2 linked regions of the Arabidopsis thaliana genome follow. The protein of the gene in region 2 interacts with the protein of the main gene of each other region in a pairwise test. Each region holds a gene or a part of one and is shown on either strand. Other genes may lie near its edges.

The links. The genes of interacting proteins can lie anywhere in the genome.
Region 1: the proteins of AT5G09480 (region 2) and AT4G30450 interact in a two-hybrid assay, tested with the Arabidopsis thaliana proteins (one large-scale study listed by BioGRID).

What each region holds. Positions count from the first base shown.
Region 1 is NC_003075.7:14,885,085-14,889,404, forward strand, and holds AT4G30450 (glycine-rich protein), read right to left. Parts: upstream 1,701-4,320; 5' UTR 1,523-1,700; coding exon 1,199-1,522; 3' UTR 943-1,198; downstream 1-942. Other genes in the region: AT4G30460 (glycine-rich protein), read right to left, coding at 4,162-4,320.
Region 2 is NC_003076.8:2,950,077-2,954,553, forward strand, and holds AT5G09480 (hydroxyproline-rich glycoprotein family protein), read right to left. Parts: upstream 1,626-4,477; 5' UTR 1,540-1,625; coding exon 1,105-1,539; 3' UTR 786-1,104; downstream 1-785. Other genes in the region: DIC3 (dicarboxylate carrier 3), read right to left, coding at 11-437; AT5G09490 (Ribosomal protein S19 family protein), read right to left, coding at 2,302-2,550, 2,714-2,771, 2,859-3,007, 3,105-3,107; AT5G09500 (Ribosomal protein S19 family protein), read right to left, coding at 3,968-4,216, 4,386-4,443.

The sequences.
Region 1 (4,320 bases), on a different chromosome or scaffold from region 2:
TATTTCTTCCTTTATTATTTTTTGTTTATTCGGGAAGATTCTTTATATATATGGGGAAGATTCTTTTTAATTGTTAAAGAAGATTCTTTGTTTCTAAACTAAAATTTGATTCAGGCAAGAAAAGATTTGCAAGATCCTGTTTGATTTACAAATTATATTTTTCTAAAAATAATGGAGTAAGCAATTAAGATCCGTCGAGCTACTTATACATAGCACTATTTAACCATTGTTTGAAACTTTGTCTTGAAGCTATCCTGCTTAAGTCATAATGCATTGCTTCAATATTATACGTAATTTTGAAATTATAACAGCAATAATTAAGAAAAGAGAAAAAAAAAACTAGGATAGTTTAACGCTTTTATCATTGGGTTAGGTTTTGCGACATACCTAGAGAGGCCAAATTACACTGAGGTTGGTGTAAGCCTTCGAGTATGTTGGATTGTGTTGTAAGAAAGTTATTATTTTATTTGTTGTATTTTATAATTTTGTTGGTAATCAATAGTTTCCCGGTTTAGTTTTCTTCTTCAAGTGGACGCTTGTTAATGGTGAGGATACATAATAAAAATAAAAGAAATCAAATTTTAACTAAATTTCATATCAAAACTTTGATGTTTTCGGTTTGGTTCATCTATATTGAACATATTCATAAACTATCCAGACGTTTCTATTTATTTACTTGGGGATTACAAAGAACATGTTAACTTTGTTTTGTAAACGTGTCGTATACAAACACAATCGTTAAAAAGATTGAAGTTTCTATTACAATACATACTATCATCATTAGATGCACTAACTCGATTGATATAACGTTATATTCAATGTGGAGAATAATATTTGATATCAAAATCTGGTCCCATATTCATCCGGTAACTATAACCTGTGGGTCATATGGGTTGATTAACTTATTAAAAAATTTGGAAACTTGTTTTCTTTTTTTGAAGATTAATCTCAAATTCGAATTACCAATAATTTACGATTAATCAAACATGTTCTGTTCCAAATCTAAAGAGATTCTACTTTTGGTGAAAGACTTGAATAGAGAGAGTAAGCTAGGTACACACACTCGCTCAAACAAAACATAACTTACGGTAACAAATTATTCATTCCATTCCGTACATACGATATTAACTACGACGAACCAAAAACATAAAACATACTTATTGTTTCACACTTTAAGTCGAAAAGTAATTATTATAATTTAGTTACCAGATCCTGATCCAGCTCTAGAGCCAGCAAATGAACCGGCAGATGAACCAGCTGAACCACCCGAACCACTAGAACTCGAACTTGATGATGAGCTGGAGCTAGATGATGATCTGGAACCTGAACCTGATCCAGAACCTGCACCAGCACCGGAGCCCGACCCGCCGCCAAGACCAATCCCCAATCCAACGCCCAAACCGATTCCAATCCCACCTAGGTCAATCCCCAAGTCTTTTCTTGCGAGTCGGCTCTCGGTTAACATAACTAAACTTGAAATAACTACTAAACCAAGAAGAAAAAGACCTTCGGCCTTAGCCATTTTGGAAATCTTCGTGTGTTAAGACTTGCCGATAGATGTGTTTGAGTTTATAGTGTAACTTGATTAGGTACAAAAATGAATAACATGTTCGTGTATTTATAGAAGCTTTGGGATTGTGTGAGCCGCTACGTGTATATCACCATAATTAATTTAACCTACGTACATTTATCATATTTCGTTTTATTATAGTTTAGAGAAATTATAATGGATATGCATTGAAGAGTGAATAATTAAGTATATATGCATGTTTTTTTCTTAATTAGATAGGTAAGATAGAGAGTGATGTTTTTACATTTTTACCCTTGTAAGAGAAAAAGAGTTGAAAATGAAAGAGAAGAAAAAAAGAAGAAGAAGTTTAACGTATATAATAACTCATAAATTACCGGTGATAAACAAATTAGCATGATAAATAAATAAGCTAATCCATAAATTAATATGTTATAAGAATAGATAATTGTTAATTTATTAGTTACTGAATGTTAACATGATATAAAAAATAATAATTCGTTATGTATAATAGTTATCTATAAGTAGCATACAATTTACCACTTTAAAAGACATGTTAGGGTGATAACTAAATTGTTAATGTATAAATTAACAATAATAATTAAATTACCAAAATAAATAAATATGTTATTATATAATACATATTATATAATACAAGATTTAACACGAGAAACATGTTTTCGACGTAAGATGAATAGTGCTTTCACCTTGCTACTATATTTTAAAGACATGTTTATCATACTAATCAAATAATTAACTACCTAAACTTGTTACCGCCGAAACTCATTTTTTATTGTTGCATATAAATTGTTTTATCTTGATATTTTTCTTGTTAACGTGTATATGTGACGAAGGGTATATTTGGCATTAGTGTGAATCAGATGAAAGAGAACTAAATAACAAAACTTCATGGTCAGATTCTTTATTTTTCATTCTTCTGAGCATATATATTAAATTCACCCTATAGTTTACGCATACTACCTTAGATAAGAGAACTACGAATACTTAATTAAACACATTTCTAGTCTAGTTAAATGTATGTTTTGATTGGCAATATTAATATGCAAAATGAAATTGTAATCCGGGGTGTGAATGTGATAAATTACAAATTAGGTAAGAACAAATCTTAGCTTAATCCATGTTATTTCGCAAGGTTTTCTTAAACCACCGGTGAGGTAAAAAAAAAGCGTTTGTAAAAAGAATTGAGGTTTCACTTCTACCACGACGATGAAAAGGTTTTCGCATTATAAATTTCTTTAAATCATTATATTCCACAGTTTTGCATCAAACCGCAAATCAGCAATGACAAGTCATAGAGTGAATGAGTGATTATCTAAAATGCTTGATAGGATTATTATTTCGCTTGCGTTTTATTCTAACGAAACTTTCAGGATAATAGAACTGGCAAGTGCATATTTTAAAAATGTGGATTCAGGTAATGTGTGCATTATCTTCTGCTGCTACCAAACCCACCAGAGTCGACGGTCCACTAAATTGAGTGGAAGCGAGGTAGTGGATTCTGCACGCTGAAACCAATCACTCGTACAGGTCACTAATCTATGGTTCCACTATGAATTATTTATTCAACCTACGACACGTGCTTAAATCATTGTTCGAGAAAGATCGAAACTATACATTCACATTGGTTATGTTTTTATTGCTATGAATAACCCATAATGTTCAATCCTCATATAGAATACAAAAGTCATTAAAGAGAAAATTCTTCTCTGACAGTTATTTTTCTATTTTGAATCAGTGTTTGGTTTATTTTTTTAACTAAGAAAGGTGTAAATTAAAATAAGGTTATTTTAGTCACTGGATTCAACTAATAGTAAGTTATAGTTCTAATTATAATAACGATCATGCTGTTTAATTCTTTGGATCTAATACAAACACGTTTGCTTAGTTAAATTATGTAAACGACTTCTAAATCTAATGCTTGAGTTTAAAGTTTATACCCAAATTGTAAGAGGTGTTCTTAAGTTATCAGAAGTTCTTATGCAGATAATACATATCTAAATTATGTATATCACGGATTGGTTCGTTTTTCATTTTTTATTTTACATATATGTTTTTATCTAAGATATTGAACGTAACACATGACAAAACCTAAAAATGCAAATCGAATTCTTCAAAAAAGAAACAAAACAGAGCTGAATTGTGTTCATGGCTTCATGCTATAAACTTTGTTTTTGGTTGATGTCTTTTTTGTTTAGCTGAACGACGAGTCTCCAAATCGTGTTTGCTCTTTCAGTTGTTTGATATACATACAATCATATTTTGTGTTATAACTTATATCGTTATATATATATATGTGTGTTATTTTCTGCTATAAGCGAAATATACCGAAGGAAAAAAAGGAAGAAACAACGAAATAAAATTAGTACATAACATTTAAATTGGGAAATTACAACTTATAGTACAAAAGTAAAACATATACAACACCAAGAATCCAATTCGAATATGGAAGGGTATATAATTACGAACCAAACACATTAGAATTCCTCCTTTTCCATCTCCTGTACTCACACACTTTAGAAAGTTTACTTTTCAAGCATTTTATTTTTCTCATACTAATAACATAATATAATTACGTATAAAACACAATATTGCATGCATGCAATATTCTTCATTCAGTCGTCGCCACCACCATATCCTCCACCATATCCACCGCCTTCACCGTATCCTTCTCCGTTACCGGATCCACCTCCTCCACCTCTACCCCCTCCTCCTCCACCTCCTCCACCGTGACCCCCTCCTCCTCCACTTCCTCTTCCACGGCCTGACCCGGA
Region 2 (4,477 bases):
GTATTATTACCGGTGAGTTGATCAGTCCACCTTCGTTTAAGAAAGTCGTATATACCCATACGGGTGGCAGAGTAAAGCATCTGACGGAGGATGGTGGCGGAGACGCCGGAGAAGAGAGCGGCGGGTCCTTCGGTTTTGACAATGTGTGCCCCTACGGCGAAAGGGGTCATGACGGAGCGCGTGGAAGAAGACGGCGCGTGAATGTGTAAGGGTAATAAGGAAATGCTGCCGATGAGAGAGTCAAGAGCGAAAACGGGTCGGTAAGGTTTCACGGGAAGATTATGATCAAGGCTAAGATTAGGGTTAGGGTTTTGGTCGAGCGAGAAAGAATGTTCGCCTTGAAGCTGCATACGGACTTTGATGAGGTCTAATGGGTGAGTCAGAGCTCCGGCGATGATTGCGGCGATGCCACCTTCAAGAAATGGTTTGAAGCCCATTGAAACGATTACCGGAGGATTTTATTGTAAGGAGAGAATGTTTTGAGGAATGGGAATTGAAAGAAAAGAAGAGTTTGGGAGATAATAGATCTTTTGTAATAAAATGTTTGGAGAAGAAGAAATGAAATTGAACAAGTTGGAATGGAAGAAGACAAACTACTTGAGAAGAAAATAATGCAACGAGTAGTTGTGTTTGTGTACTAGTCCTGAATTACGGGTTCCAGCTTTTAGCACAATGTTTCTTGTTTTGTCTTGATGCACACCTTGGCATTACAGAAAAAGAATAATTGAAGCTAGAGGAATAAACCAATATTGGTCAATGAAACCAATGTTCTATATCTAACATCTACTCATAAAATTTGATGTTTCATTAAGACGAACGTCATATACACCGACAATTGACACATTATATCTTTAATTAAATATCTTACATTACATGATTTACTTAAGAGTTATATATATATTTTTTGTACCACAAGAGATATACATATTACAAGAGAGAATTAGTACGAGATTATATCAGGAGCGTTTAGAGACTCAATCATGACATGGTGAGGACTCTAATACTGTAATACATATGTAATCTCTCATCTTTAACCAAACACAAACCAAAACTATAATTGCATATATAGTTTATATAATCATTTGACGTTCTTTACCCATTGATCTATGGCTTCTTGTTAGAAACGTTAACCTCTTCAACTGTTGATGTAGGTTTTGTCTTTTCAGTCTTTGGCAAACCGCCATTAACACCGGGAATAGGAAAGCTCGGAAACCATGATGGAAATTCAAATGTTGACCCTTCTGGCTCTTCTGGTTCTTCGGGCTCTTCAGGAACTTCGGGTTCTCCAGGAACCTCAGGCTCTTCTGGAATCTCAGGCTCTTCTGGAATCTCAGGCTCCTCCGGTGAGGGCAGCTCCGGCTCTTCTGGAACTTCCGGCTCCTCAGGTTCTGTGTATTCTGGAACCTTTTTGACCTCTTCTTGCACCAGAGAATGACTTACTCTAGCAGCAAAACTAGGTGTAGGGAACAAGAGGGACGATGAAATAAAGACAAGGAACAAGACCGAGGAGACGAGAATAGGAAGGCGAACATTAGTCATTGTGATATTCTTGAATCGAAACCAACTTAGAAAGATGAGTTAAACAATGTTGTGAGTATAGAGAGTTTGTGTTTTGCTATATATTGTTTACAGAATGGTTTCTTAAATAATATTGAGATGAGAGAGATCTTAGAATGTAGATTCATAAGAGTCAAAAAAATTTGGTGAGAAGATCTCACTGCACGATTGTGAGAATGTGATGTTAGTCTTCAACAAACTCACCTATATTTCATTATACGTCTTAGTTGTATAACCCCTTTTAAGTTTACTTTCGAACCTAATATATATACTTGTTTTAAAGCTATTGATACTAAACATTACAAGAAATCTTAAAGTTAGCAATACCTATATTGTATTTTACGTCTCATATGCATCACCCCTTCTTTACCTGTGAACATTCATTATTAATACATTTACATATGATTTTATTATTTTATCTTGTAACCGTTTCAAGTGAAAAGTGTATTTTTACGCATTATGTAGATTATTAAAATATATAAGGATCAAAATCAAATAATTTTAAGACTTATAAAATAAAATAAAAAATAAGACTGAGATAAAAAAAAAAAAAAATTAAAGACTAACTCAAGTCCAAACTCATAATGGTATTAAGTATTATAGAGAAAATCACCAAGAATTTTTTTTACGATAATAAGAAAAGTTTAAAGACACTAGAGTGTCAGAGACATGATGATAAGAAGATAGATTTAGATGAGCAAAACAAAAGAAATTGTAAAAGCAGAATGAAGTCTTGAAATGGCTTCACTTGAGAGGGATAAACCTAGAGGAGTGTGTAGCACCATGACCGGGCTTGCCGTGCCTAACGGGTTTGTAAGTGATTGAGAATTCCGCAAGGTAATGTCCAATCATCTCCGGTTTGATCTCGATTTGGTTAAAAGTCTTTCCATTGTACACACCAATGATGCTTCCAATCATTTCAGGCATAATCACCATGTTCCTTAGATGGGTTCTCACTACTTCGGGCTTCTCACCAGCTGGTGCATCTAGTTTCTGGTTTAAAGTAAATTAGAGACTAGTGTTATTATAATAATCAAAGCCAACCAATCAAAAGGCAGATCCTAACTAAAATTATTGTTATGTTGGGAGATCACAGACTAATAACAACTATGACACAATAACAACAGAGATTTATATTGGAAAGTTAGAGTTTTACCGCTTTGCGCAATTTCTTGATGAGAGCCATAGGCTTCCTCGTTAATCCTCTACTCATCCTACAAAATAATCAACATAATTAAACAAAACCAATCATTTAAAACAAGAGTTATATAATCTACCAAAATTTTTGGTGGGATCAAAACCTTCTTCTTATACGGGAAGGGAAGAGCTCGACAAGATCATCAGTGGGCATGTCAAGAAGAGCATCGAGATCGACTCCTTTGAAGGAAAACTTTTTGAACGTTCTCTTCTTCGCAAGAGCAGCTGCGGAAACATCTGGTTCGACTTCAGCCTACGGATTTCGACAGAGAAATTTAAGACCATGATGGGTTCAAGGATCTAACAATCGAATAATTAAGGTTTAAAGAGATGGAGATCAAGAAACTAACCATTGTTCTTGGTTTGAGAAGCCGGGAAAGTGACTGCAACTAGGGTTTTGCTATGGAGATACGACAAGAGACATAACTTGGCACCCAATATATATATATATATATATATATATACACAGATGTATTATAGATCCTACAGTGTTTCTGTTTAAGGAAACGTCAATAAATATTTACCAATTATTACATTATTGTCTTTCTAAAATAACATATGAATCAATATTTAAATATTTTTCTTCCCTTATAATAGAAAAACTTCTTTTTTTCTTACCTTATAAAAACTGATAATTAAAACATATAAATACACAATTTTCCCCCAAAAAATCAAAACTTAATTATTAGTTTAATGTAAAATTAACTGATTTAGGATAAAATTGGTCATACATTTTGTATTTATCTTCGAAATACAAGGAAATTATGTACAGATATCTTATAGAAATAGATATATAGTTTGTGAATTTCAAAAAAGAAATTGAAATTTTCTTCTATTTATAAATAGGGTCATTGTGTTATTTTTTATTTTCAATATACAACCATCGATCTGCAATACAAAGAAAAAAAACTAAGCAATCCAGATATTGATTTTTTTTTTTTTTTGAAGTTAATATATGCAGTTTAAAAATGCAATTGAAAGATATCTATCTATAAATCCTGAATTATTTTCTAAATTTAAAGTAATACTCAATAAACAGAGCAAAGTTTAATAGATTATAAATAAAAAGCTCTGTATTATTTGAAGGCATGAACAAGAGTTTGAACAAAATCTAAAGGAGAGAAGAGAAAAAGAAAGACAAAATGTTCTAAAAGAAAAAGAAACGAAAGACTCGAATTTAGAGCATAACAAAACTCCACAAGAGCTTGATTATTCACTTGAGAGGGATAAATCTGGAGGAATTGGTAGCACCAACACCAGGCCTACCATGCTTAACAGGCTTATATGAGATTGAAAACTCAGCCAAGTAATGTCCAATCATCTCTGGTTTGATCTCGACCTGGTTAAAAGTCTTTCCATTGTAAACACCGATGACGCTTCCAATCATTTCAGGCACAATGATCATGTTCCTTAGGTGGGTTCTCACTGCTGCTGGCTTCTCTCCAGCTGGTGCTTCAATTTTCTGCTCATACAGAGAGAGTCACAACCTTTAGCGTTTTAAAGCCATTTGCTTGCAAAAATCATATATAGAGAGGCATGAATCTGAGAAGACACAATCTAAGAAGACACGTTCCAGGGCAAAGATCTAGTTAGAACAAAGAATTATTGATGGAGAAGTTTGAGTTTTGTACCGCTTTCCGCAGTTTCTTGATCAAAGCCATAGGCTTCCTCGTCAATCCTCTAGAGAACCTATTTACATAACAAAACTGATCAGTCTAAAAAA